3 linked regions of the Astyanax mexicanus genome follow. The protein of the gene in region 2 binds, or shares a complex with, the protein of the main gene of each other region. Links are inferred from orthologs where the notes say so. Each region holds a gene or a part of one and is shown on either strand. Other genes may lie near its edges. The genes, in order: ncf2, cytochrome b-245 light chain and rac2.

Region 1 (10,896 bases), on a different chromosome or scaffold from region 2:
CTTTATTAAAAATACATACTACATATTGTACCAGACAACATTAGAAAATAAGACCTGTCTGATATTGTGGAGATGTTCAGACCCAGTCTAAGATGTCACAACTTGGCTCTTGTCAAAGTGCCTCAGATTTCTATGCTTGGCCATTTTTTCTGCTTTTAAACACACTACCTTAAAACAAGAACTTACTTACTTTCCACTAATATAAATATCCCACACTCTGACCGGTGACAGTGTAGATGAAGATAATCAGTGATTTCATATTTGTAAGTGGTCTTAAGGTAATGACTGATCAGTTTATGTTTTTCATGTGTTTTTTTAGTACACATGGGACTGATTGCTAAATTTATTGCTAGATTGTCACATTTTAAGCAGAGTACGTTTCAATAAACTGTTCATATGTGGTATCATCAGGTAATAGAGTTGATTGTCCACATAACCTGTCAAATATATATATATATATATATATATATATATATATATATATATATATATATATATCAAAAATGCCGTAATCAGAAGAAATTTAAAAACAAATGAGAAAAACCTGGAAAAGGTTACCAGGCTTAAAAAGCTTTGGGTCTCCAGTGAACCACTGTGAAAGCTAATATTTACAAATGAAGAAAACATGGAACACTGGTGAACCTTCCCAGGAGTGACCAATCAACCAAAATTATTCCAAAAGGGCAAGGACAGCTCATCGAGGAGGTCACAATAGAATCCAGAACAACATTTTAAAGACTGTAGGTCTTTTAGCTCAGTTAAGGTCAGTGCTAATAACACATAATACATAATGGCCCGTCTCACAATTGCCAAAAAAAACATCTTAATGATCCCCAGGACTTTGGCTAAATATTTTTCGGACTGACGTGACAAAAGTGGAACTTTTTGGAAGGTGTGTGTCCCATTGCATTTGGCATAAAACTAACACATAATTCCAGAAAAAAAGAATACCACACTGAATGTAAAACATGGTGGTGGTAGTGTGATGGTCTCAGACTGCTTTGCTTATTTAGGGCCTGAACAACGTGCTTTTATAGATGGAACCAGGAATACTGCTGGTTATCTGTTTGTGACCTCAAGCTCAGCCGTACTTGGGTTCTGCAGCAGGACAATGATTCAAAGCACACAAACAAGTCCACCTCTGAATGGCTTTAAAAAACAAAACAAAGGTTTTGGAGTGTCCTAGTCAAAGTCTGGTCGAAATGCTGCGGGATGATTTTAAACAGGACGTTCATGCTTGAAAACCCTCCAATGTGGCTGAATTACAACAATTCTGCAAAGAAGAGAGGAACCAAATTCTTCCACAGAGATGTGAAAGACTCTTTACCAGTTATTGGTAAGCTTGATTGCAGTTGTTGCTGCCAGTGGTGGCACAACCAAGTTGTTAGGTTTAGGGGCAACCACTTTTTACACAGGTCTAGATTGGGCTTGAATAGTTTTTTCCTTTAATAAATAAAACAATTATTTAAAAAATTATTTTTAAATTTATTCAGGTTATATGTGTCTGATTTTAAAGTTTGTTTAATAATCTAAAAAATATTGTTATGACAAATTTCACACCTCTATTTTTATTTATCTAATTTTCTGTTTACAATCATATGTAAGTCCAAACAGTTCTTACCTCACTAGCATAAAGTTTATACCTCAGGCCAAGAGGTTTGTAGTCTATCAACTGGTTTCCTCTTAGCTCCTTAAAGGCTTGCTGGAAGTCCAGAAGTGATTCCTCAAATCTGTAAGGAGATATATTTAGATATTACGCTTTATTTAAATCTGCAGTGCAAGCTCTACTGATAAAAAAAAACGAAGCCCTTTCTCAACATGTTTCCTGTTAGTGAAACACTGTGGGCACTGCAACGTTACATCAAATTCCCTCCAGTTTCACAAGGCAGACAAGAGACACACCACAAGCTAACATTTGTGGAAAATGTAGCTAACATATTAAAGATCATGTACTTCAACACATTCTGGCTGAATGGATTTGGTCATCTTATTTTAAAAGGAAGTGTTTTAATCAGACAGTTTTGTGTGCAATAAAGGAACAATCTGGTGCGCAATTAACTTTGGGTGTAGTGTAGGGTGACCAAACGTCAGTATTTCACGTCCTGTCCCAGGCGTCCCGGGTTTTTTTCAAAAAGTGAGGAAATGTCCTAGTTTTTAAATGACCTTCATTGGACCATTAAATTTACAGGCACTAGGGCACTGCGCACGGCGCTGCATGTGACATAATCCCTGAGCCGCCTCAGTGAGAGCAGTAGTGTCAGTCTCACAGTCAGAGCACCTAGACCCCAAGGAACAAGTATGAGTGTAACCAAGTGACAACTAAAATGTGTATTTAACTTAAATATTATGGATTTATTGTGAAAAAAAAAAAAAAATTAAGCATAGATGCGTTTTGGACTCACGCAACAATGCAAAAATCTCTGAAGGATTTTAATAATTATATTTTATGGTAAAATCTATAGTTAGAGAGTGGGGACAGGTAACAATGCTATATATATATATTTTTTTTTATGTTGCTAACATTGGCTGCTTTTGCTGTATTTCGTAATCCAGAGGGCGTAAGAATATGTTTTTTTTAAACAAACGTTTGTCATGTTTCACTACATCCCAAGTCCATTTCACACCTGATTTCTGCTTTAATGTCATGATTACTTCACCAGACACTTTACAGTTTTTCAGATCAGGGCCAGGCAAAGATATAGCCTCCACACAACAAGGTCTGGTTACATATAACAGTGTTACATATAACCTCCCCAAAAAACATAAAAAAAGTCCATGTCCCCTCATATATCAGTGCTATTGTTCTGATATGTATTATCAGAATACAATTTGCCATTTATGAGATGTTTTTATTTCTCTAATCCTGTTTATTTAAGTTCAGATATGTATGTGTGTTTTGACATGCCAAAAGTCATGGAATAGCAGTGTGCAAATTTATTAATTGTGAAGTATTGTTTACATCCTGGGACAGCTTGGGAGTACGAACACCTGTAAAAGTTGCGAGGTGTTGTTTTATAAGTGTGGCTGAACACAGGCAAAGTGAATTATGGGAATTACAGCAATTTCTAATAGTGGGTGCCAGATAAATGGATCATTCCATTTCTGAAATGGTGCAAGCACAGTAAACAGCACGCACAGTGGATGGTAATGACAGTGACCAGTGGTGTCTGGTGAGAAGTCACATCCATATGCAGTGCAGGAGACGGGCAGTGCATTGTTCTTTAGCTTAAAGACTAGTCAAATCTACACTGCCTGGCCAAAAAAACGTAGCCACTAAAAAAAAGTTCACACAATCTAATATTTGGTTGGATCACCTTTAGCTTTGATTGCAGCACACATTTGCTGTGGCATTGTTTTAATACGCTTCTGCAATGACACAAGACTTATCCAGTGTTGCATTCATTTTTCACTGATCTTGCAATGATGATGGTAGAGTCTGACCGCTGCACAAAGCGCAGAACATCCCAAAGATTCTCAATGAGGTTAAGATCTGGACTCTGTGGTGAACAATCCATGTGTGAAAATGATGATTTCATGCTCCCTGAATCACTATTTTACAATTCCAGCAACATGAATCCTGACATTGTTATCTTGGAATATGCCTGTGCCATCAGGGAAGATAAAAGAATTCATTGATGGAATAACCTGGTCTATATTCAGTATATTCAGGTAGTGAGCTGACTTTTTTTTCCCCAGGCAGTGTACTTTCAGCCACTGTTTCAATTAGCTCTTTAGTCTGTTACACTAAAAATCCCTATGAGATGTTTAGGGTTTTTGTGTAAAACATTTTGAAAACTCTTTTATATATAATATTTTTCTAATAAAATATTTAATTAAAATTATTTAGCAAAACAAAACAAAAAAAAAACATTGATTCAACCTTCACACTTCCCTACTTATTCTGTTGCATGTGGCAAAATTAAACATGGTACTAAATAATCACTGAAGCACTTACTTTTCTTTTTTGTAGAATGTAATTCCCCTTTGAAAAAAAGCCACAGCCAGATGCTCATCTTTTCTGATACTGCAGTCAAATGCCTTGAAATGAGAGATTAGAGAGTTTCCTCTTAAAAGCCTGAAACAACTTTTACTTCTCCTTTTTCAAAGTAACATTTATTTTAAGAAGAACATTAGAAAACGATACTGTAGCATTCTGTTTTACAATATTTTAAGTTTTGAAGCTACTTATTATAATCTGATAACTTTATCTATGACCTTTTTGACAAGGCCAAGAGTCTACAGTCGACTTTACCTTCTCAGCAGCCTCAAAGTCATCAGCGTTCAGATGGAGGCATCCAATGTTGAAGGCGATTTTAGAAGTCTTCTCCTCAATGTCCTGGAATGTCCTGAGGGCTGCGGCTACATCTCCTTTCTCTGCATAAGCCACTGCTTCATCCCACTGCCGCAGAGTGCTCACAAAAGACATGTTCCCTTCACTGCTGCTGAAACCTCACTGAAATGGCTCTTCCCTGTTATTGAGAACCAACTCAGCTCGGAACAGCCTCTTACTGTCAAAGAGGAAGTGCTTCAATCAGAGCTGGCTGCTCATTATTTCCTATGGCAGATTAACTTTCTCTGTAACTGTATTAGAGCTGGCACAGGTCCAGAAAAGACAATGGACTGAGAATCCCCCCCTCCATTCAATTTTATTTGTGTGGTCATTTTACAACACACACATTGCCACAAAACAGCTGTTCCAGGAAAAGTAACCCAGAAACAAAAAAATGAAACCAGCCCCATGACTGTCTTGTGCAAGGCTGATGGATTTGAGATCTTTTTATATCCCTCCTCAGACTCGTCTACATCTACAACCTTCTTTCTACAGTCCTCAGAGAACTCTTTGAGTTATGAAACTTTAGCAATCAACAGCAAACCAGACTTAATATCTGAGGTTTAAAAAAGACAGGCTCCTCCAGAATCCTCTCTAACCATATTCTAATCAATCACAGCTGATGAGCTGGACCTGGTTTAATAGTCTCAAAAGTTGCATTGACATATACTAATAAAGATTAAACAAAAAGGGGATGACAATTTATTAGGTTAATATAATGATTACACTCAGAGAACAGAAAACAAACATTTGAACATATTTTTAAGCATGGGGTGCTGTTAACCTGCGGTTTCTGAGGCTGGTAACTATGATGCAACAGAGGTAATTTTCCTGGAGCAGTCCTGATGAAAGCCAGTTTCATTTTAGATGGTCTTTGTGACTGCTCTTGGGGATACTTTCAAAGTTCTTAAAATTTTTCGGATTAATTTACCTTAATTTCTTAAAGTCATTTTTTTCTTTACTTAGTTGAGTAGTTTTTGCCATAATATGGATTTGAACATAATTTAAATAGGGCTATTCACTGTATACCAACTATACCTCTTTACAACTTTACAACTGATGCTCTCAAACACCTTAAAAGGGCAAGACATTCAAGACATTACTTCTTGACAAGTTCAGCACAGCTGTTAACTGAAAGTCATTCCAGGTGACTCTACCTCATAAAGCTGACTGAGAAAATGTTGAGATGTTTAAAACTGTCATTCACGCAAGGTGTTACTTTGAATAATGTAAAATATATATTTTTTAAATGTATATGTATTTCTTCATAGTATGGGTGACTTTAGTAATAAACTATAAGGCAGAAAATATGTAAATATATGTAGCTTTTTACTATCTTGAAACTCTGTATACAGGTGTATACCACAACAACTGGTTGAGTTTGAGGAAATGTATAAAACGATTTTGTGACCTAATTGCTCTTGGTTCACATCAGTACAACATGGCAACATTTTTCATTTGAAAAATGTGTGATTTTAAATAAACATTTCTCCTAAATTTCAAATAAAACTATTGCCATTTAGAGCATTAATTTGCAGAAAACGAAAAACAGAATGAAAAAGGAGTTTTTATATAAATAAATAATGCAAAGAAAACAAGTTCATAATCATAAGGTTTTAGAAGTTCAGAAATCAATATTTGGTGGAATAACCCTGGTTTTTAATCACAGTTTTCATGCATCTTGGCATGTTCTCCTCCACCAGTCTTACACACTGCTTTTGGATAACTTTATGCCACTCCTGTTGCAAAACTTCAAGAAGTTCAGCTTGGTTTGATGGCTTGTGAAAATTCAACTTCCTCTTGATTATATTCCAGAGGCTTTCAATTTGGTAAAATCAAAGAAACTCATATTTAGTAGTAGCCCATACTGGGGAGGATTTGGCAAAGCGACATTTATCTATTTAATATTTTGTTATGATTTTAATATTATTAATTAGGATTATTATAAGATTATTAGATTATTGTTTCATCTTCTTATATTTTTCAATAACGCATAATTGTCTGTTTTTATATGAGATAAAAATCTGTATTTATGGATTAGGAGGAGTTTAGCCATTCACGGCGGCGGTTTCCCGGGCAACCCGAGCAGCCAGTGGTGTGAGAGGAGGAAGCGGCTCCAGATCTCTATGGTCAGAGAGAGCCATGGCATTTCCTGTGAGTGTAAACAGAGCCGTCGGGCTGCCATGGCCTCGTCCTTTAGGTGAGGGGGAAAGAGCGGCCGCCGGAGCGCTCTCTCCATGAACCAGCAGCCGCTCTGCGCCGCGGGAGAACTGGGCGGTGAGGCATGAGGCGCTGGTGTTAGCGAGCGAGCTACCATGGACGTGGGTTCAATGCTGTACAACAGTTTGAAAGATGTGACCTGGAGCTCCACCACTCTGCCCCTGGATCGGCTGGTCAGCGCCTACAGACTCCCGCAGATTGTGAAGCTGGACGGCGGTAAGGCTGGACTTATAAACTGGACTTTAATAAACTCGGCTGCAGGTGTGGGATGTGTTTTTGGGCGGCTTTAGTTGGTACTAGGCGAGTTTTGGCTCGGATAAACTCGCTCCAACTCCCGAGCGTGGGTGGCGTTGTAGCTCGCCTGGAATTCCGAGCATTAGCTCTGGCTGGTTAGCTTAGCACGCCTGCTAAAGTTAGTTAGCTCGTTAGCTCCATTGTCAGTGCTGGTGGACTGCTGGCCATCATAAAGTTAGGTTAGCCAGCCTTTAATAATAATAATATTGCAGCAGGGAAGCGTTAGCTAGCTGTGTTTTATTAGTGGATATCTAGGTAATCTAGCTAGCCATGTTCTTTCTAACAGGTCAGGTCAGTGTTAACCACTGAAACTAAAGTTACAGTCCATAATGTCGAGTAACAAAAATATTATTAGCTAGCTTAGGTTAGGTATTCACAGACTAGAGGTGGGTAAGGCAGCTCCAGAAAGTAAAAATCCACCACAGGGTTTTGTACCATCTGCCAGCTGCAGCAGAGCCGCCCAGGCAGTTGGTACAAAACCCGGGGATGGATTTTTACTTTCTGGAGCTTGCTTACCCACCTCTATCCCAGACTCACCATATTGCTTATATTTTTTTAGTTTAAACGCCAATGTTGAATCTAGTTTACTTTAGGTGTTGTCAACAGAGTTGAAACCGCTGACCTAGTTATCTAGGTTAGATAGTATTGTTCTTAACTATGTTATGTGCAGCTAAGGCACACTGAACTATAGCTAAAGCACTAAAGTCAGGTCCAGCCCGTAAACCTGCTAGCGGTTAGGAGCTGTAAATCACAGGATCCGCAGAAAGGTTGGTCTTCTTGCTCTCTCTGTTGGTGTAGGAACTGGCTTGACAACAGAGATTTGGTTTACTTACAGAGAAAGATTGCCCCAGTGATAACTGTATGCATATGGTTGTCAAGGCTGTCACAATTTGAAGACATTTACTTAATATTTGAATGAACAAAGCTTGGTTCCAGATGTTTGTTGGACACAGTGTTCAATTCCATCACCAGCTTCCCTGATATAACGTCATTAAGCACTGACTTAGCAAACTAGGTGTTTGATAATAACCAGGCCTCTCACAATAATTTGCTACATTATTGACTTATCATACAATATTGTGATCAACAAACCTTTTTTTTGTTAACACTAATATTGGCCTTTTTGTTTAGTTTCTAAGATGAACGCATTAGCTAAGTTTGTAAATTTATTTATTTTTTTGTTATAATTAGGGCTGCAACTAATGAGTGTTTTGTTAGTTGACCAATCTAACGATCAGTCGATTAGTCAGCGATTATTTTTACAATGTTCTACATCTGTCAAATGATAAAAACAGCTAAAAAAAGATTTATACGCCATTTAAATGTCTAGATGTTGTTTAAACATGGAAAGTTCAGAGACACAGACTAAGTTGAGTGTAACCTGTGTGAGTAACCCATTTATCTCACATTGTGTTTCTGTCCATAGCACTTGTGTGTAATGTGTACTGTTACGGTCACAAATTAAGTATTAGTTGACAATGAAATTTGTAGTAGACAAATAAAAAATATATATAACATTGTCGATTATATCGACTTATTGTTGCAGCTCTATTAATAATTAGTAGGTAAATGCTCATTAAAGATGTTCATTGACGACTAATTGTTAACCTGTAGCACTAAGCAAAGTACGAAGGTCAGAAACACAATGGGAAAAGGGTAACACTAAACTTGACCTGCATCTCCAAAAGTGCCCAAACACATCAGATGACACACACTAAATAGCTGCACCATCCAGAACAATGTTCAGGACATTTAAAGAGCATTTAAATCCCACATTTAGCTGTTGCTATTGTTTGGAGCGACAGAGAAAGCTAGAAGGAAGAAAAATAAAAAAAAGTAAGGAAAATAAAGTTTTTGCACTATACTGTATACATTTAATATCATGCTTCTACACAAAAAAATCTGTCCTTTAGCTCTGTGATCACAAAACTCTCATCATCTTATTTCACCTCCCAAATGTGCTGAAATGCTGAGGTAATATTACCGTCTGTCTTAAATTCTGAAGTAATTTGGGACAAACCATTGAGGGAAAATTCTGGGAACTGTCTGGCATAATCTCCTCTGCCTGCATCCACACAAAGCCTGAATCATTAATAAGGAACCCAGATGAGCACTTTAATGGCACCCTGCTGTCTGTGACACATTCACTTCACTTAGTCAGGTCAGGAGCTGAAAAGATGAATAACTCGTCTGGGTGGGAATTAGTGAATGAAAGTGATTTGCATGGAGATGCAATCTGGAAAGGCTACATCCGTAGATTTTTATGTAAATGACTTCCCTGAGCATTCCCTCGAGTTGAGAACGCAGGCTTGATATTAGCTTAATTAAATTCAGAGGGCTGGCCTGGTTTAACTCTGTTACAATATTTCAGTGTTGCTACATGAAACATTTATTTGTGTTGAGATTATATCTCTGAATGCCTGCTTGTCTCTGTGGCCTTACCTGACTTATTGTGCTGATACTATAGTGTCATATTTCCATATTGATGTAGATAAGTGTCTTTTTCTCCAGGGGAATCGGTGGAAGGGCTAAGAGAAAATGACTACCTCTTGATTCATTCATGTCGGCAGTGGACCACGATTACTGCTCATAGCCTGGAGGAGGGCCATTATGTCATCGGACCGAAAATCGAGATCCCTGTCCATTATGAGGGTGAGGCCTCTCATAGTGTTGTGTAGGGCTCTCTCTCTCTCTCTCTCGGCTGTCCGCAAACACTGTACATTCTTTTTGCTGTGTTAACAAGATGTATGTATATGCCTTGCTCTTACATGTGTAATATTTTTAGACATATAAAACACTAAGTAATAACAGAACAATTGTCGGGAACAAAACATGAAACAGTTCAAGCCAAATAAAGCAGAGAAATTGTCATCATAGTAAAGCTATTGCATCTGCTATGTAGGCTGCAGCATTTTCCATCAGTTTTACGCTGGCAGGCAATTATCTAATTGACCCCTCCATATAGACGTCACTCTAGTGACCGAACAAATGCTGAGGACTGGAAAAAAGGTCATTCACTTTCAGTTTGAAAATTGATGTTCAATAAGTGGCAGTAAATTCCCTGATATTTATGTAGCTACTTAAATTAAGAACATCAACCCCATTGTTGCAGCTTATGTTAATAAGTGCTCCAGTGATGCAATCTAGTTTTAATGCTTTGCAGTGTGGACTTTGCAATGTTTGTTTACAGCAGAGGACGTGGTCTGATAAAGTTAATCTTTTAATTTCCAGTTGTAAAAGAAATGAAAGTGTAAGCCCAGTGGAAGTGTTATTCCCTGCTATTTACAGCTATATTAAGTCTAAACGTTTTATGCAGTAAAAAGTTTTATTTATATGTATAAATATATTTTTATTTTCGCTACTGGTTTGAATTTTTTTGGTTAGAAACTATCTGCAGGTTAGGTTTAAAGCAGGAAACATGAGTTGTGTTTGACCGATGGAGATGGCAGATAGCCTTGTTTTTATAATTCTGCTGAAGGTTGCCATTTTCAAAGCTACACACACACTGCAAAAGCAAAAAATCTAAAAGAAATTAGTAAGGACTATTTCTGAAAGCCATTTATATGTGACCTTGTTTCCATATGACAGAACATAAAGAGCAATAAACACAAATAATAATCCAATTCACTACTTTAAATTTATTTTTATAAGTGGAAGTATTCACCCTTGAATCTTCTGACATTTTGTAGTGCTACAGTCTGGAATTCAAAGATGTTTTATTGAGATTTTATGTCATGAATCAGTATCAAGTAGTCCATTGTACTGTAATAAAATTCAGGTGTAGTCTGCAAATAGTTTTTAAATAAAAAGCATCACATTATTGCTCCAGTATTCACCTCTTTAAAATACTTTTAAATCCCCTAAATTATTTCTGGCTCAATCAAATGCTATCAAAGTGTTTCCAGAGGGACTTCTGAGCTTGTTAGATAAGTATTGCCTAATCAAACTGCATTATGAAGTCCAGGATAAAGTCAGAGTTTGGTTATATATATATATATATATATATATATATATATATATATATATATATATATATATATATATATATATAT
Region 2 (10,023 bases):
TAGCCAATCACATTGCAGGGTCAGAACTAACTGTGGTATAATGTGTATTATAAGTATCAATATGTGCATAAAGCTTGTAAGTCTGTCTGCGCTCTGTCCCCTGTCTGCCAGTGTACTCCCTGTCCCGTTTGTTTGGGGTTGAGGGGGAGCTGTCGGGGGTGGCGCGGCAGGGTTCAGGCAGTGCCTGTAGGAGTATGTATGGGGGCTTTGTCCAGTGGAAGATGGGTGAAAGAGAGGATGGGAAAGACAGCCTGGCTGAACAAGTCGCAGCTGAGAGTCACTGGCCAGAGCTCAGAGTGCTGGTCCTGGTGGTGAGTACTGGAGTATCTCTTATCATAACCATACCCGCATCTTTATGCATCTCATATAGTATTTCACACTTACATTCTTAACTGCCTGTTTTATTTATTTTTTTGTTACATTTTATTTTTTATTTTCTTGACATGGTTAAATTTTAAATATTTTCTCAACCAAAATAACTAGAAAAGGTTTAGTTTGTAAACTATTTGTCTCCTTGGCTGTTAATATACTAAATAAGATATGTTTAAAATAAAAAGTATGTCATATAATTGTCATAAAACTATATGTCAGGGATCAGAAAACATATTCAACACCAATTTATAAAAAATATGTATTTCTGTGATCCCTTACACTTTCCAGATGCCCAATGTCTGTCACCACCTCTGAGTATTTCACAGCCATCCTCTCTGACTTACTGCTTAAATAATACAGTTCTTTATCTATTTATTCATCTCACTAGTTTCTTTAAATTTGGAATGTCACTAGGTGCAGAGATTACACAGCTTAAGTCAGGAATACTCCATCAACAGAGTGCCAGTCCTATCACTGAGTGCAGATACTGTATATTTAGATCTGTGGAATTGCAGTTCTAGTAGAATTAGAGGATAGTGATAACTAGGCCATTGCAAAACAAAAGAAACCTGATTAATCAATGCATTTTATTACTCTTTACAAAGGCATATCTGATACATTTGAGATATTGTGTGAAATGAAATGATTGGTTCTTGTATGATTTCAGGTCAGTGCAGAGCGGAAGCCTGTTGGAAGTACCTCTGGCATGCAGACGAGTGTTAAGACAAGCCAACTGTTGAAGGTTTGCTTCTGTTTGTGTTTGTGTAAGCATACTGTGCATATTAGCATCAAAATCTATTTTATATAATAAGTTAATTAATTTATGAATTTGTCTTGTACGCACAGAAAGGACACCCTTTTTATTTCAGAAATGTATTGAAAATGAAAAAGGGAAATTACCTATCTGAATAGCCCAGTAAGTAAGAGGGCGCCTATCTTTTAGGCTTAGTCCAGAACACGGTCACAATCTTGAAAGCCTCCATCAGGGTTCGTATGGTCATGAAAAACCTGGAAAAGTCATGAAATTTAAAAATGGCAATTTCCAGGCCAAGTTTGGGAAAAATAAAAATGCCCAGAAAGTTTTGGAAAAGTCATGAAAGTTTGGCCTACACATCTTTGTGCATCAGTTTATCAATGGAGAAAATCTATTTTGAGCTCCGAGTTAATTCATTAATTTAAGCCTACAAAATGGAGCTCTCAGGATCTGACACACATTTTATTAATAAATATTGTGTCATTATTTTTATCAGATTAATTTTAGACCTATTATATTTTATCAATTTTGATTATAGTTTTGGTTGATTTTTGGTTTTATTGGCAATGATAATCGTATAGGCATGGAAATGTGCCATGAAGACATGGAAAAGTCATGAAAAAAATAATAGAAATGTATTGGTTAAAAAGTGTATGAACCCTGCTCCATTTTTTTTTTCTGAAACAAAAGGGTGTCCTGCCAATTTTGACTCAAGACATACATCAAAATGTGCATACACTACCCCGCCAAACACAGAACAGTTAGTATAATGTTTTGCACCCTTCCCCTGTAGCACCGTGCAGACAGTGTGGTTCCTGGCCGTATGGAGGAGATGATCAGTGCCATCCAGAAACGTGACTTTGCAACTTTTGCGGAGCTGACCATGAAGGACAGTAACCAGTTTCATGCTACCTGTCTGGATACCTACCCTCCCATATTCTACCTTAACGACATTTCACGAAGAGTCATCAGCCTGGTCCATCGCTACAACCAGCATTACCAGGAGACCAGAGTGAGTGTAGCCGACAGGTTTTTACCATAACATAGTCTTACGACTATCTCAGGTCTTGTAGGATGTGGCATATATAGATATTTCTATGGACTTCTAACTTTGTAAAAAATAAAGGTGCTACAGTAGACGATGCAATAAAAAAAAAAACATTTTTACAGTTCCATTAGAAACCTAAAATTAGATATGGGCTGATGTGGGATTTTTGGGCCAATGCCGATATTACACATGTATATACTGTATCTGTCAATGCAAAACTTACAGAGACTAGACAACCCAGTATAGCTTTAGAAATAAACAGTTATCTGCCTTACATTTAATTTTTTTAACCAAAGGAATACAAACAGTAACATGTAAAGAATCAATTTCTGGTTTTATATGTATTTAGGTAACTGGTCCTTACATAGACTAGGCAGTAACAGGTTAAATAAAACAATAGAGTTATTAAACAAATAAAAAATAATAAAAAATGAGTTATTTTAAATCAATGGATTTTAAAATAGTGCGACCAGTGTCTGCCAATTTCAGTACTACAGCCAGCATCTCTTTGTTGTTTTTCCTGCATACAATACATATGTCAGGAAGTATCTGTTAGAATTATTGGCCAAATGCCAATGATTAAAAAATAAAATAAAATAATTTGTCGATATCGATATAATTTCAATATCATCAGGCATACCTTCCCAACATTGTAGTGTGTGAGTGTGAATAACCTTTAAAAATATATTTACATTAAGTAAAGGATATTTACACTCTCACAGCTCTTACAGTTGTCTTTATGGAACCAAAAAAGTGTTTCTTCTATAGCAGCACTAAGAGAATCCAACAATCCAACTCACTGGGGCCCAGTAGTCACAAAATGTAAAATCTGGATATTTGATCCAGAGGCCTGTTATCAATAACTGAGACACCCCTGTCCCTTTTCTGTAGAGATATATGTAATATGCATGATTTAATACCAAATACCTTTAATGTGTGAAACATAGGGGCACATTTGTAACAGAATTCTTCTGAAAGCAGGGCAGTGCAGATGCTTTTATGCTCAAAGTTTACTGTTAACTGAGTGTGTCGCACCAAAGAATCCAATATATTTTCCATTCTGTGGCCAACCAGTGAAATGTTGGCATTGGAATCCTCCTGTACAGGAACTCAGTTGTGACATTGATTTAGTGACCAAATGCTTGCTGGGCTTGTAGATCATGAATGTGTTGTAACGTATTGGACCCAGTATCATACTGTATTCTATGTGGTTATAATTCATCTGATGAACACTAGAGGGCCCCATCTGTGTATCAGAATTACTGTATAGGAAGTTCAACACCCTTAATATCACTGAACAAAAAAAAGTCTTGATAATGTATTTTCTCCAAAAAATATATTTGTTTGCCTAATTGCATTTTAATTGTTGCAAAGCCCTGTTTTTTTAAGATCATTATAATATTTATTCTAAAATATTTCCAGTAAAGTTGACACAGCCGCTGTGTCACTTGTGTATAGAAACACATGACATTTATATACAATGCATGTCTTTAGCAAGGAGACTAATTCTGTTAAATAGTGAATATTCCTAATAAAAGCAAATCTATATTTTCCAGGTGGCATATACTTTTGATGCAGGTCCTAATGCTGTGATCTACACTTTGCAAGAGCATGTGCCTGAATTCGTCCAGGCTGTTCGTCATTTCTTCCCTCCAGAAACCAACGGTGGAGAGTAAGCTTTTCATTTCAGACTGATGCAGAATATAATCAGATTTAAACATTGATCAGCCATAAAATTAGTACCATTTGCTTAATATAGTGTAGCATCCACTTTTGCCATCAAAACAGCTCTAAAACATTAAGACATGGGTTCTACAAGACCTTTGATGGTGTCTTGTAGCAGCAGGTTAATTAATAAACTGGTTAACAGGTTGTCCTGGTACTGACTACTGCATACCAGCATGCCTGATGTTCTGGAGATGTTCTGACCCACTAATCTAGCTACTAATCTATGCTTAACGTCCAACACATCAACTGGAAGAACTGCCTGTTTACTTGCTGCTTAAAGATAATCAGTTATATTCACCTCAACTTCACTCAGTAAATGTTGCTGAAATACATAAATACATGTATATGTTGTACATCATGCAGTTGCATGCATTAAATGAGGTTGTTGTCTCCAGGTTTGTAAAAGGCCTCTCTGTGGACTCTGCCTCGTTGTCTGAAGAACTGAAGAGAGCCATTGGGATGGAGCCTGTTCCGAAGGGCATCAGCTACGTCATCAGCACTCAGGTACGTGACTCAGACTTGCCTCAGATTTAAGGAAACTGTGCTAATTTCCAGAACAGTAAACAAGTGTTCAAGGAATGGGCTAAATCCTGTGTAATCATTAACTTGCAGAAAGATTAGGAATCATCATTCACAGTAATGTGTGTGTTTTTTTTTGTTGTTTTTTTTTACAGGTTGGACCGGGTCCGTGTGTGGTGGAGGAACCAAACCTTCATCTGTTAGGCCCAGATGGACTTCCCATGAAGAGCACCTGAGTATTAACAGGAATCATAACTGGCCTAAAGGAAAAAGAAACTTTAAGTTCAAGATGAAATACTTCAGTCAAAATCTATTTAAAAACAGAACAAGACTTTTAGTTTTTTTTTTTTATTATTGTAAGATTTTTGATTAATAGGATAAGAATTAAGAAACTATTGATGAACTTGATTTGTTCAGCTTTTGTATAATTTAAAATGCAATAATGTCTATTTACATAATGTTTGTATGTATGTAATTTTGTGTAGATTGTTTGAGTGTATTTTTCTAGCTTTTTGAAATTTGTTTGGTAATGTTCTTAAAATATACACAGCTGTTGATGCCATGAGTCTGTATTATTTTATAACTTTTTTGTGGCCAGTGCTTTCTTTCTTCTTTGCTATTTCTTTATTTATTTATTTAAAACAACAAAAACAACATTTTCCGAAATGCAAAGTAGTGCAGATATATGTACATATATGATCCGACACACAGTAAACCAAAATATAGCAAAACATAATAATAACTAACTAAAATACAGTACATATTTTAATAAGTGACACTGTTTAAATTAGTTATAAAGTTATGTGTCTAGTCTCTAGTAAATTTGCCAGTGACATTACAAGTACAACAGGGTACAAATATATAATTTAAGTACTAAACGTACATATAATTGTATAAGTATAATGTAAATGTTAAAGGAAATTAAACAAAAAATCACATGTATTGTTCACATGTATACATTTAAAAAAAAACACTTATTTGACAGGTATGTTTGGAACCAGATAGTCTGTGTTATTCTGACTGATTTTCTTTTCTTTCTATTTTTTTTCTTTTTACTTTTTCTTTTCTTTTTTTATTTAATTTATTTCCATGTGTTCCCGTTTTGCTGGATTCCAGTATATCACAGGGTGGGTGGGTGTGTATATATATATATATATATAATATATATATACTAAGTATATATATAATTTACTGCCATAAAAAAATCAGCAGGGTATAAACAATATAAACAATGCAAGAACCAAATGTAAAAAAGAAAGTTAATTAATCTTAAGTTTTAAGTAATTAATTAGTTACAATTATACATTTTAAAAACACTTATTTGACAGGTATATTCAAAACCAGGTAATCAGTGTTATTCACTTTACTAGTTCTAATCTTCTGACAGATTTTACTTTTCTTTTTTTCCATGTTTTTCTTGCTGGATTCCTGTGTATCACATGGTGTATTTATGGTAATTGCACTGTTATAGATATGAGTTATGGGGTGTGTTGTTATATTTAGGTTAAAACTGCTCTACAGGCTGAATACAGTCACGCCTGTTGAAAGCGTCCTGAACTAGAGGAAATGACGCGGTCAGTGGGCGGGGTTTGCGCGGTGTGGCTCCTCTCACCTTTGTTCGCTGTATAAAGTTAGAGTGATTGTATTAAAAGTGTCAGTAAATCATCATCAGCAGTAGCAGCAGCTCCTCCACAGACCCTGTGAGCTCTTATTACCAGACCCGGAGAAGATGGGGAAGATTGAGTGGGCGATGTGGGCTAATGAACAAGCCCTGGCTTCTGGACTCAGTGAGTATCTCACAACTCTGGAACACTTCTCATAACAGCAGTATAAAGCGAGGGGCTCAGCAGAAAAAAGATACATGTATATATATGACTGTAATTATGAGGATATATACACAGGTTGGTGATGTCACTTAACAGCCCGGTGTATACAAACTAGCAATACAAGTTTAAAAACAGGAAAAAAAAAACAGTCAGTGGAAGTCAGACATGCTTTCACACAATATATATATATATATATATATATATATATATATATATATATATATATATATATATAACAGACCACTTCAGTTTCAGAATCAGTTTCCCTGATTTAGCTATTTATAAGTATATGTTTGTTATTTTTTTATTGTTGTTTTATTCTATAGGCTACTGACAACATTTCTCCTAAATTCCGAATAAAAATAGTCATTAAGAGCATTTATTTGCAGAAAATGAGAAATGACTGAAACAAAAAGATGCAGAGCTTTCAGACATCAAATAATGCAAAGAAAACATGATCATATTCATGAAGTTTTAAAAGTTCACAAATCAACCATTGGTGGAATAACCTTGGTTTCTAATCACAGTTTTCATGCATTTTGCCATGTTCTCCTCCACCAGTCTTACACACTGCTTTTGGATAACTTTATGCCTTTACTCCTGGTGCAAAAATTCAACTAGTTCAGTTTGGTTTGATGGCTTGTGATCATCCATCTTTCTCTTGATTATATTCTAGAGGTTTTCAATTTTGTAAAATCAAAGAAATTCATCTTAGTTAAGTGTTCTCTTAATTTTTTTCCCAAAACTGTACATAGATAGTTAGTACAAATGTGTACAATACTATCATTACATTTTGACACAGTATAAAAACAGATTCACATTATGTGCAGGATTTTAAAAAAGACAAAAATGCATACACAATACTGAGTCTACTAAAATCAATAGTTTAATCTTTTACATATTTACATAACTACAACTTGAAATTTGTAAAATGTAATGGCAAAAATAGAGGTACAAATCTGAAGGTATTAGGTCTGTCACGATAATTACATTATCGGCGTATCATACAATAAATGTCACAATTTTTGTCACATTTTCACAATAATATTTGACCGTGATATCCTCTATTGTGTTTATTTGTATGTTTGTTCACATATATATAACAGTAAACAGAATTTTAGCCAATCATGCAATACCAGACCAGTTCTTTAGTCATTAAAATGTAATGGAGTTAAAAAGACAATAATGCATTGCAATGTATTGATTGCAATATTTATTTCTGGGACAATATATTGTCCAAAAATTATTTTCATGACCGGCCTAAAAGTTACTAAAATCACTGTATATTTTTATGACTGTGAGTAACAGTGTATATTATGGCTTTTTGACATAAGAAGCCGCAGATCAGGTTAAAGTAAAATCTGGTGTGCTGAGCTGATGAGGAAATTCAGGAGTGATTCATGAAATCTTTTTTTAAACTACTTCCCTGTTTCAGTTTATCTAACTGGAGGAATCGTCGGAGTTGCTGGACAGTTAAAGGGCTGGGAGTACGCTGCTTTTGGGATGTATCCTTTAATATGAGTGACTGTGGACTGATTTAATGTTGACCAGTTGTCTGTCATCTAGATCTACTCCCACTTGTGGATCATATGAGTCCTAAAATGTGCTCCATCTGTTCAGTTTCCTTATCTGATCCTTCCTTCTTTGTTTCTATATTAATCTAGAATGTTACAGTGCAAAAATAGGCCTCTCTGTAGGACTGCAAACACTTTACTCTTTCTAATAATGCTGTTTAATACTTCTTCAAATATTTTGAAGTGATATTCTATTGTAATTAGTATTTGTATAAATAATTACTGAATTGTATTGAACTTGTTCTAAACAAGCACAAACAGTAGAGAGTAAATATATTTATTTGTTAGACTGAACTCATGTGTTGTCTTAGGATTTAAAATGTATTTAATGTAGTCGTTTTTACATTGCAAACATCTTGAGATCAGCAAGACTACATCATATTGTCAGTCAGACAATGTATATTTAATATAAAGCAAACATTTGGGCACCCCTGTTCAAATGACAAATGTTTTTTTTAAGAATAAATAGATAAACAAAATGAATATACAAAATCTATCATTTGTATTTCTTCACTGTCTAATGAAAAACAAGTATCTCCAAAATGGCAACTTTACAGGAGAGAGATAAAACCTACTTAACTTTCAATGGAACAATGTAAAAGTTTATTTTAGGTCATTTTGGACCATTTAAATTGATCAAATTACCAAGAAATTTTGACACAGTGTACAAATCATGCAGTAAACTAAAAATCCACAAAAATTTAATTACTTGTTTTTCATTGGACAGCAACGATTTGTTTTTAGGTATTAACATATGAGAGGCAAATATAACAGTATTGTAACTTCTTGGAAGACTTGACTTATTTAAATACAGAAAATCCTCAACGTATTTAATCTGGCTGCCCAGACACTTGCATAAGACTGTATTGTGATTCTCTGGTTACAGTCTCTTGTTTCTGTTTTCCTTCATAAATTGAGCCACGTTTTTATAACTAATTGAATCGAACTGAATCATCTTCAGTTTTGGATGCTTCCTTAAATAGATTTTTAACATCTGCATAGCTTCATACTTCATACAGGTTCATACAGTACCAGCATATACTTCATTTTACACATTTCATGTAATTTTATTAAAAAACATTAGTTCCAGATGTATGAGTGTGTGTGTAGCTGTGTAAGTGAAAAGTTAGCGGTTGCTCTTCCGCATAGTTTGTTACCCTTGACTAGCGCAGAGCTGCAGGTGTGTTTGTGTGTTTGCTTGAGTACCCCAGGAGCAAGAGGGCTAAAGGCACCAATTATGAGAGAACGTGAGTAATGTCTTCACACTCAGCTCTTTCTGCTAGACTGCCTTCAGGAAACGGATTCTATTCTGAGCCCAAAACAGAATCAGTTATTTATAAATGCATTTTACAGAAAACCTAATAAAAGGTTGTTCGTCACATACACAGTAGTAGTGCAATGCTTTGATGAGTGTCTGATCACATGAAACAATATGATAAAAAAGATCAAATGTATAGAATTAATATAAAATATGTGATACTTTGTTATTTACAATGTTTATATCATAATACTAACTTTGTAACGTCTTTCTTCTTTTGTGTGCCTTTCTGTCTCTTTTCTGCTGACAAACAGAATTTCCCCAATATGGGACTAAAAAGTATTATCACACCCATTAAATAAATAAATAAATAAATGAAAGAATAAACGACATAGAGACACATATATAGAGATAATAATACAATTCATTAAAAATTCCCAGAGCTCTCCTTATGAGCATTTATTATTATTATTTATTAATAGTTATCATATCAACACATGGACGTATTCAATGTATAAAAACAGTTTATTTTTTAGTAAATTTAGAGCATTTCTATTGGTCTATTCATTCAGAATAATATGCACGTAACACAAAGCCGCCACAAGATTTAAACAATGGGTAAAACAAGTAAAAATAGAATAAAAAGGAGCAGATTTTTTTTATTGGACAGAAATGACATGGACTAAATACATACCATATATAGAAACTATATAGAAAGTAGAAAATAGTTTAGAAGTGAACACCTGCTGTATGAAGATCCTGGTTATTCATATTTCATTGTTGTGTGATGTTGTTTTGTTGTTGTTGTGTTTCAGTGGTCAGTACTGCTTCACTGTGTGTGTGAAGGCATTCGGACCCCTGACTAGCAATTACTACGTGAGGGCGTTCCTGCATGCAGCGTGAGTACCTCTGCTTTATCTCCATTCTGCATATTTTACCTTTGT
Region 3 (10,247 bases), on a different chromosome or scaffold from region 2:
TGAAAAATAAAAAAATGGTTTTGGAAGACATAAATGATTATGAGCAGGTGTTCCAATACTTCCGTCCAATGCAGTGTACTGTACATGTCCATATATGTGCAAATTTATATCAGATTTCCATATCGGAACATATTGTGTCGCAGTGTACTGTATTATATTGTTGTGAGTAATATGTTAGTGTGTGACTAGTGTGTTATACTGAGGCTAACACATTAGCACGTGACTCCAGTGTGAGTGAGAGTTAGCTCGGCAGACTGTAAAGCTGTAAAATGTTGAATGCTTTTTAGATTCTGGTGAGGTGTTGTAGTGCAGCTGGATCATGAGGGATCAAATGACTCAATGACGTTTAGTGCAGTCTTGTTTTCAGTCTAGATCGATAACACCAGTGGGGTGAACTTTCAGAAGATTCAGAATGTTCAGAAGCTCCCAGGCAGCTTAATTGTAGTAGATAGCATACAGAAGATACAGCTTCATCTCTGTAAGTGATATTATGCACTCAGAGTTCAGTTCTGGCAAAATACTGTTGAGGAAATGATTGTACAGATGGTCAGACGTCTAACTTCTCTTCAATCTCCACTGCCAAGGCCAAAACATCTCTTCTAAATGATTTCAAAGCTAAACCTAAAGGGTCAGTCTTCCTGACAGGAACTAAGCCTCTACAGTACAGCTTCCTTTTTCTGATAGCGATCATTTGAGCATACTCCGAACGTGGCATAACAACTTCCTGTATGGTCTTAAAAGTGTGACAAAATGAACTGGGTTTCTGCAGGTCATGTTTGACTCTTGGGCTGTGTTCACATTACCAGGCTTAAGTGACCTAAATCAGTTTTTTGCTCAGTGTGGCTCAGATCAGATTTTTTCATGGCTGTATGAACGCGCCAAATCAGATTTTTTCTAATTAAATTTGAGTCGCTTTCATATGTAGTCCTTAATCAGATACATATCTGATCCATAGACATGCGACATGAATGTGAACGGTCAAATCATGGGGAATTCATGCGTCCTTTTTCTTTTACGCATGTGCTACATGCTTCTTTCTCGTACCCACAAATCTCTTGGTGCAGCTGTGCAGCTATAGCTGCAAAAACAGCAAAAGCAAACCACCTGGTCATTTTTCACTTCCTTGACCTGAGCATGTATTTCAGACCAGCTGATTACTCTCCACTCCAGCAAAAGATGCTCCACATATGAGCTGCTAAGAAAACGCATCCATTTCCCTTTATAAAACTAAGGGTCGTCTCTCAAATATTGAGTTTTTTGTTGTTGGTGAAGAAGGCGGCTTTTATACACGTATCAATGTGCGCATGTGAGATGTTTCAGGGACATATTCATTAACATTACACACAGATGCAAGGCACTTACATTTGGGAATGTGAATAGTCAAAATGGCCAAATCTGATGTGACCAAAAAATCAGATTTGAGCAATGTGGCTTGTAATGTAAGCATAGCCTTAGTAGTGCAGTGTTTTTAAAGCTTAAGCTAGTAACCAAATCTCTGTTTCCATGGTTGAAAATTTTCTTCAATGTCCTTCTTGAGAAGTTTAAGGTTCCTTTCCATAGCTTGTTTCCCCATATAACATACTGTATTTGTGTGGGTGCTATCAAGTTGGAAACCATGGCTTCCATCGTGACCCCACATATGAATGTGGGATTAAGGTGGGTTGTAATGATGGTGTCCATTTGGGAAGTCCAACTGGGTCCAAATAACACATACACAAACCCATTTAGAGCTCATGCCCACTTATAGTGATCCACTTTATCCACAATGTAAGCTCAACCTGTGAATGCTGGCTGGGGTATAAGATTGTACTGGACAGCAGCAGTTGAAAAGTGGGTTAAAATTTGTCTGGTGGCTGGCTGTAGCACAATCTGTCCAATGCCATGTAAGTAAAGGGAAAAAAGCAGCAAGGCAACCTATTTTACCTATTCTTCTCAGAAATGTAACTCTAAGTTTATAGACAAATAGGTTAGAGCTTGCATTGAAGAAATGTGGGTGGAGTTTGGACAATTAGTGCACATGCTCTGACTCGATTTTCTCTACAAAACACAATAAGTGCAAACTAGAGATGTAAAGGCCAATCGGTATATATCGGTATTAGTTGATTTTCAGTCAAAATTCCTTAATTTAGCCAATTCGATACAGGAGTTAAGGTTTACACAGCAGCACTGTGGGGCTGGAGTTTGATTTTGTCCAGACTGCATCTGTCAGTGAGAAGCAGAGCTAACAAACACCACTAACAACACAAAACAGCAAACACTGCAGACCTCCACCAAAGGAACAGCACCAGCAGTGAAAATGTTAAAGGAATCATACTGTTCATACTGTGTTTATTGTTGGATAAGCAGTGATTTTTGTAAAGTTTCCACTTCATTCTCCAAAGTGCAGTTCCGGTATGGAAGTGGCCAATGTTAGGATAAGCCAAAAAGCCCTGCCCCAAAAACACTGATTGGTCCATCTCTAGTGCAAACAAGGGCAGGTAGCTTCCATATCAGCCATCTTTTGACTTTAAAAATGTTGTGTCCACTACATACTATCCACACTTTTAAACAATTTATGGCCATTCCTAGAAACATTTTTATGGTTCCTCAAGGTTCTTCATACTAGAACATCTATGTATCTTTTTTAAAAATTGTTCTACTAATAGTTAACACTAGTTTAAGAAAACCCTTGAATTAATTGTTACAGAACTATTATACTGAGCTGAGGTTCGCATTTTACACATTACACAAGAAGCCTGCACTCAAAATAGTTTTTTATTCACCAACAGTTGACAACTTTTTTTCTATGGCTTGAGGCAGTATTTCCCAACCAGGTTCCTGAAGGCCCACTGCTCTGCACTTTTTAGTGTTTTCCTTGATCAAAACACACCTGATCCTACTAATCAGCTCAATTCTGGAGTAAAAGTGGGTGTGTTCAAGCAGGAAAACACTAAAATATTCAGCACAGGGTGCCTCCAGGACTGGGGGGTTGAGAAACACTGGCATATGGGGCCATTTTAGGAATTATTTGAAAGTATGTGTGGAATTTTTGTTCATTGGTACAGTGTTCCCCAAAACTGATCAATGTTCTTCCAATCAAACCCTGATTTCATTTACGAAAAAAAAATGGCGGTCAAAAGAATCATCCATTTGAAGGCTTTTAAGGGCAAAAGTGGCGGTTTTGTAATGGCATTACATACAGTAGTCTTTGGTAGCTCTATTTTTAAGCATGCCTGGACATTTCTGAACATTAAATTTGATCAGAAATGTTTTCAGCCATTGTTTGGAATAAATATGCCATTATTTGTAATATATGTGGGGCATTTTTTAAAGACCCTGAGGCCTGGCTTATTTCAAACCCAGCAAGGGTAATGGAGTAATGGAGGATGCTCTAGGCCGCTCCAATCACTTCAGATAGTTGTAGGCGTAGGCTATCTGATTGATTACACTGTGATTAGACTCCAATGTACACCTGAAGACCTGAAGGAACACCTTTTAGAACCAGGCCACAGTCAATCCAAGTGAAGGAACGGCCAGTTTAATCTGCTGCTTAAAGTTCCGCACTGAAGCAAATCGAGTTGAGTCACTTCCAGATGCAAAACTCTTCAATCGCAAATCCCCATCTAAAGCTGCTTTATTTTATAGTAACATGAGAATTAAAAAGATTAAAAGAATCTGGACCAGTCCAGGTAAAGGATGTAAGTGTCTGATTCCCTTTAATAAATTTTAGGTTTTGTTTCTTTTAAAACATCAGATTTTACCTTAAATTAAACTTTTTTTACTATTTTTATTCACAAAAAGGCAGAAAATAAAAAGTAAATGACGTAAAGACAAAAGAAATGACAGCAAAAAGAGCAAGAGAAGGAAATAAACGCCCAACCGGTCTTCAGTTACATGACAGCCATCACTTGTTCACTCCAAATCCGCTTTACACCAAAACTGTCACTCTACTATCACCTCAGACTAAGACAAGAAGTAGAAAAATAAAGCAAATTCACGTTTTAACTCACCCGTCACCCACAACGACACACTTTATGGCCTGCATCTTCCCCCCCGAGCTGTTCTTTTCAGCTTTTTAACGCGCCTCAACAGAACCAGAGTGTGCAAAAAGTGAAGAAGGTGCAATACAGGAAACCAGTCTGTTTCAGAAAAGTTGTCAGTGTGTTTCCCCCCCTCCACTCACTCCTCCTCCCTTTGCTCTACCTCCTCCTCCCTTCACTCGACTGAATCTACGCGCCTCAGAGCCGCCCAGTCTTGCACATGCACGCTCATGTCATTCGTAACTTGCTAGACTGATTGCAGATCAGCTCTACAGCACCTGAAACTGGTCATGTAGCAGGAAATAAGAACTTCAGCTCCCTGAAGCACATGCAGGGTGTGTATATAGTTCAGATGTTCAGAAAAAAATGAAAGAAAGAAAGAAGTAAATAAAGAGAGAAATTGATTTGTATAAAACGCAGGAGCAAATAATGTATAGATAATGAAAAAACCTGAAAGGATAAAAGCAGGAATTCCTTAAAGAGAGACAAAAATAGTTAAGTTAATTCAGTTAAGCGTAGATTAAGTAGCTCTGTTAAATCACTTCCGCTTCACAACAGGTTTCCTACACCACAGCAGCTTTGACCACCAATTTGTTTTCTAAAATCAGCAGAATTTAGGGTTTAGACTTTGGATCACTTTCATTTTTGCATTGGGTTCTTTTATTTTCAAACTACAGTGCCAGTTAAACGTTTGGACATATTTACATTAATTGATTATTGATTTTTCCTACATTGTAAATGAATACTGAAGTCATCCAGATTATGAAAGAATATATAAGGAATCATGTGGTAACTTAAAAGTGTTAAACAAACCTTTTGGTAAACCTAATTGTAACACTTTTTATAGTGTTTACATGACTCTGGTTTTTATTTTAAATATTTATATGTCAGAATTGGATAGCTTATTATTTTTTTTTTAATATTTTATTTTAAATCACCTTAAATTATGCAACAATTAGCTATTCCACCTTAAACAGTACAGCCTGCTAAATTATAGCCAGGTGCAGCAGGCTGCAGAGTTTAAGGTGGAATGGCCAAACAAAAAACCCTTTCAGCATCTTTTATTTAGCTTGCAAGTGGAAACTATGAAAATGAAGTGCTTGGATGCTGCTTATGAGGAATTTAATTCAATTAACCAATGTTTTTACTTCTGCATCTAACTCATTTTACATTAAAGATTGTTGCAGGTAACATGGTACTGATAATGGCTCTGTTTTCTAAAAAAAAAAAAAAAAAAAACATTCAGACAAAAGACCACTTTTGTTTTGTATCATAAGCTTTTCAGTCTCTTTAAGTTTACCTAGATAAGCTAAGCTAGCTAAGCTCTCTTAGCATACCTGTCAAGTTTTAGATTTAAAAATAAGGGATATTTTCCTCTGTCCGCTTAAAGCCGTCCCACCAGCCCAACGAAGGTTCAGTATCTCTTACATTTTAAAACAGGTTTACAAAAAATCTAAAATAACCACATGTGAACCACTTACACACTACAATTAGATTATCAGAATCTGAACATGTTGTGGACATTCCTACATATGTCATTCTTTTAATACAGCCAAATTAAAAACCCTTTTCTATATCTTTTTTTATTTATTTAAGATTTCATGTCTTTTTTGTAATAAATGCACTCTTTTATATGATATATTTTTTATTTATTTAATGGATTTAAAATTGAACAAAGAGTGCACAAATTCTGCAAAATGACTGTTGGTGACCTAAAATGGTATTATGAGCTTTTACTAAAAGGACATGGACCAGATATGTTTCATCAGTAAAAATTAGTCCTAAGGGGCCTACACAATAAATTTTAATTAATACTTATTCCTTTTGATCACTCCACCCCTGATTAGTTCAGTTAATTTCGGTCCTCTCCACATTTCTAGTTAAACTGAGTCACAAGCTGTAATTTTTTTTATTTTAAAAGGTTTAATCTGTGTGTTTTATTTCGGAGTATTTTTAAGCAGCTATCAGAAAAATCTCATCACAGTTTCCATGATTAGACTACCGTTACCTTTCTTTTAGAAAAATCGCTGCATGTATGTTTTAACTAGCTGCCTGAACTCACAGCGAGGAGGGCGGGGCTTCCCCACACTGACCCTCCTTGCAAGCTGATTGGCTGTTTCTAGTGAAAGGCGGGACTTTCTCCTTGAACCGGCTCCACGATTGGTTAAGAGACACAGAGCGGTCAGTGCCCTGTATCCTCAATAATATATATTTTTTTATCTTAATAAAATACGGGAAATTTACGGGAAAATACTAATACGGGAGGACGGCGGGAAAGAGGAGTAAAATACGGTAGTTTCCCGGCCAAAACGGGAGACTTGACAGGTATGTCTTAGCTTACCTAGCTAAGTGACATTTCAATTGAAACAGAACATTTTAGAAACCCATTTTAGCCTCATTGCTACATTTTATATTTGTTATTAAATTGTATATCAAAATAATGATACACAATACTGCTATTTAACTTAAATAGTTAGTTTCACACTTTAGAATTTAATCCATCTACTTTAAAATGCTGCCCGACAGAAAAGCCAACAGAACATGCTAAAGCTAAAGCTTAGAATGCCAAAGAAAAAATGTCATACAAGATATTTACTATTTCTAGCTACTGAACACTTGGTAAAAAAAAACAGAAACAAATTATTCAATTAAATGTTCATTTTAATTTATCTTTATTACCTTATTAGGCCTCAAACAGCACAAGAAATTGGCTTCCTGCTTCTATTGTAAGGCTGTAGAGTGTGGGAGGAGCCTAAACTAATTAAACTCCAAGAAAAAGTTAGCAAATAATACTGAAGCCTAAGAGGCGACTGATAACTGGTCACACTAAATAAAATAACAAATTTGTAGTCATTAATAATTTAAAATGCATTATTGAGGATGAACGTTGCTGAAGTATAGCCTGTGTTACAGTACACAGCTTTGAAAAAAAAAATAAGAGACCATTTCAGTTTCTCTGATTTTGATATTTACAGGTATATGTTCCAAATAAAAATATTGTCATTTAGAGCATTTATTTGCAGAAATTAGAAATGACTGACATAAAAAGATGCAGAGCTTTCAAACCTCAAATAATGCAAAGAAAACAAGTTCATATTCCTAAAGTTTTAAGAGTTCAAAAATCAATATTTGGTGGAATATCCCTGTTTTTTTTTTTTATCACGGTTTTCACCCATCTTAACATGTTCTCCTCCACCAGTTTTACACACTGCTTTTGGATAACTTTATGCTGCTTTACTCCTGGTGCAAAAATTCAAGCAGTTCAGTTTGGTTTCATGGCTTGTGACCATCCATCTTCCTTTTGATTATATGCCAGAGGATTTCAATTTGGTAAAATTAAAGAAACTCATTATTTTTAAGTGGCCCTTATTTTTTTACTGTGTATTAGGCAGACACAGTAATAATATACGTATTCATATTATTAAAGTTGATTTTGAAAAATAAGTAAATAAAAGAAATGAAAAATTAACAGTTCTAAAGGCAATTTATCTTTTACAAAGAATATCACAAAAATATTAACAACTTATTACATCGCCTTCAGTGAAAGTTCATTTCAATGGCGAAAACAAAAACAACCTGTTAATATCCTATTACAGGAACATTAACCCAAATGTATATTTTATTACAAAAAACATAATTACTCCTGTTTAACTAAATGAACTGCACTTTACTTTGAATAAAAATAAACACATACCCAATATGTAATAGTATCAAAAAGAATCACTACTGTTGTCATAAAACTGAGTATTGTGAAAATGTATTTTTATTCTTCTTCTTATTATTATTAAATATATTAAATAATATTTCATTCGAAATTAAACAGAAACAGGCCTCTCAACCATGTTTGGCAACAAACTTGAGGGAAGAGGATTAAAAGTCCTGTAGAAACTCAATGTTATAAAGCAGAATCTGGGAATCTTGGTCTAAAATGTGTGTTGGGCCAATTAGATTACAATGTCACTTAACTGTGTCGTGATTCAGTTGCATAAAGTAAGAAAACTCTCAATCTGATTTGTCACTTATCACTAATCTACTAATAGTGCACTAACTGATCACAGTTGAGTGGATGCAAAGCAGTGTTTAAAACCATTTGAGACTTTTTAGTGCACTAGCTTCTTAGAAAATAAGGGGCTTTTGAGATTTAGGACAGATCATCATCCACCCTGCATTTCTAATGCCTCACCAGGAGAGGGTAGAATAGGATGGCAATTGTGATCAGAGAGGACCAGAGCAACAGAGGGGGGTAAAAACAGATCATGCTCTAGTGTGCTTACTTCTGTAAAATAAATTAAGAAGTCAAGAAGATCTACTAAATACTAAAAACGGTTCTTGGTATTGTCTAGAGTTTCCTGTACACACTTACAGGAACTATCTGTTAAGAATAATGGTTGAGTGATGTCATAGAAAAAAACACTTAATTTAAGTGTGAAGAATATTTAAAAATGAGCAAAGAACATCTAAATCAACCTATTTTAACTTTTGAGAGGTTTTTTATGGTTCTTTTTGCAGCCACCCATTTTTTTTTTTGCTTTAAATCTATAAAATACCTATTTGTAGCAGCTCTAACTGTAACTGCAACAGTGTGGTTTGCTTTCCTTCCCTTATGAAAAAAAGTGTAAGTTACTGTATTTTTTTGGATGTTAATCTACACAGAGTCCTCTCCTGAAAACTGTTTATTTGGGTAAGTAAAGTGCTTTCTTTTATTTACACTAAGTTTAGATTACTGAATTTCTCCAGCACTAGGCTGGAGTATTAGCATTAGCGGCTAACCGCTCCAGCAGTGCTAGCCAGGGTTAGGAGCAGGCTACAGGCCGATAATACTCACCTCTGAACGGGTAAATAACGGCCGCAGATAGCGAGTAATGCTAATGCTACTCTAACAGTGCTAGGTGGGGTTAGCAGCAGGCTACAGGCCGATAATATTCACCTCTGAACGGGTAAATAACGGCCGCAGATAGCGAGTAATGCTAATGCTACTCTAACAGTGCTAGGTGGGGTTAGCAGCAGGCTACAGGCCGATAATACTCACCTCTGAACGGGTAAATAACGTCCGCAGATAGCGAGTAATGCTAATGCTACTCCAATAGGGCTACCTGGGGTTAGGAGCAGGCTTCAGGCCGATAATACTCATCTCTGAACGGGTAAATAACGACCACAGATAGCGGGTAATGCTAATGCTACTCCAACACGGCCAGCTGGGCTTAGCAGCAGGCTACAGGCTGATAATACTTACCTCTAGATGGGGAAATGGCGGTTAGCGGCTAATGCTAATACTGCTTCAGAACTAAACTGAAACTCATGTGTAATGCTGTTACTTCAGCAAAGTGGCTTTACTGCTTCTTACAACCTGACTAGCAAAATAATATATAAGGCGCACTGGCTTATAAGGCACAATGACGTTTTTTGAGAAAATTAAAGGATTTTAAGTGCACCTTATACTGCGAAACATAAGGTACTTACAGCTAAGAAGTTAAAATATATTCCCCAAGTATATATTATGTAGCAAGTATAAAGAATCAATGTACTTGTTGACTTGTAAGTGCACTATTTCAATACTTCTTGGGACTAAATTGGCCCAATTTAGTATTAAAAAGTATACTTTTAAGAGTGCTTTGGGTGTACAAGTAGTGCACTCTGCCTACACAACTAGTTTACTAATATGTACAAAAATAATATATAATATACAAAAATAAAACTTAAATGTAAACTAGCAATGTACTCTTAGTTTACTACGTGTACACTTGAAGTTTACCTTTAAGTGTACGTTATTTATACATTTAGAAAACTTTGAGTACACAAGTAGTTTACATATTTAATTTAGCTTATTAAAATATACTTTACTCTCACTTTACTCTCAGTAAACTACTAGTCTAGTGGTTTTATACTTAAAGCATACTAAGTCTTTTAAGTAAACTTTACATAATACATACAATTTAATTATTATTTTTTATTTTTTATTTTTTTATGAGTATTTAGTTATTTTATCAAAATGTAGGTTAACCAGGATAATGGAAACATTACCACTTTGATGCTGTGGTGTGTGTGTGTGTGTGTGTGTGTGTGTGTGTGTCTGTGTGTGTGTGTGTGTGTGTGTGTGTGTGTGTGTGTGTGTGTGTGTGTGTGTGTGTGTGAGACAGACAGAGCGAGAGTGTTGTGTCAGCTTTTGTTCATGAGCACCTCTCGCATCCTGTATTGCACACAAAGGCCATTTGGTAGAGCTGAAACTAA

What was found.
Region 1: cytochrome b-245 light chain (region 2) and ncf2 share a complex: the UniProt entries of both Homo sapiens proteins name them as parts of the phagocyte NADPH oxidase complex. The link is inferred for Astyanax mexicanus from reciprocal best matches to the Homo sapiens genes CYBA and NCF2.
Region 3: cytochrome b-245 light chain (region 2) and rac2 share a complex: the UniProt entries of both Homo sapiens proteins name them as parts of the phagocyte NADPH oxidase complex. The link is inferred for Astyanax mexicanus from reciprocal best matches to the Homo sapiens genes CYBA and RAC2.

The regions. Positions count from the first base shown.
Region 1 is NC_064415.1:33,924,272-33,935,167, reverse strand, and holds the start of ncf2 (neutrophil cytosol factor 2), read right to left. Parts: upstream 4,534-10,896; 5' UTR 4,427-4,533; coding exon 4,253-4,426; intron 4,039-4,252; coding exon 3,956-4,038; intron 1,731-3,955; coding exon 1,622-1,730; intron 1-1,621. Other genes in the region: garem (GRB2-associated and regulator of MAPK protein 1), read left to right, coding at 6,646-6,766, 9,356-9,496. UniProt on the Homo sapiens protein: Subunit of the phagocyte NADPH oxidase complex that mediates the transfer of electrons from cytosolic NADPH to O2 to produce the superoxide anion (O2(-)).
Region 2 is NC_064416.1:13,290,927-13,300,949, reverse strand, and holds the start of cytochrome b-245 light chain, read left to right. Parts: upstream 1-6,028; 5' UTR 6,029-6,150; coding exon 6,151-6,208; intron 6,209-7,682; coding exon 7,683-7,752; intron 7,753-8,993; coding exon 8,994-9,068; intron 9,069-9,894; coding exon 9,895-9,978; intron 9,979-10,023. Other genes in the region: mvda (diphosphomevalonate decarboxylase), read left to right, coding at 112-311, 1,040-1,114, 1,920-2,138, 3,731-3,846, 4,298-4,406, 4,577-4,657. UniProt on the Homo sapiens protein: Subunit of NADPH oxidase complexes that is required for the NADPH oxidase activity that generates, in various cell types, superoxide from molecular oxygen utilizing NADPH as an electron donor.
Region 3 is NC_064426.1:7,286,185-7,296,431, reverse strand, and holds the start of rac2 (ras-related C3 botulinum toxin substrate 2), read right to left. Parts: upstream 4,171-10,247; 5' UTR 4,025-4,170; coding exon 3,990-4,024; intron 1-3,989. UniProt on the Homo sapiens protein: Plasma membrane-associated small GTPase which cycles between an active GTP-bound and inactive GDP-bound state.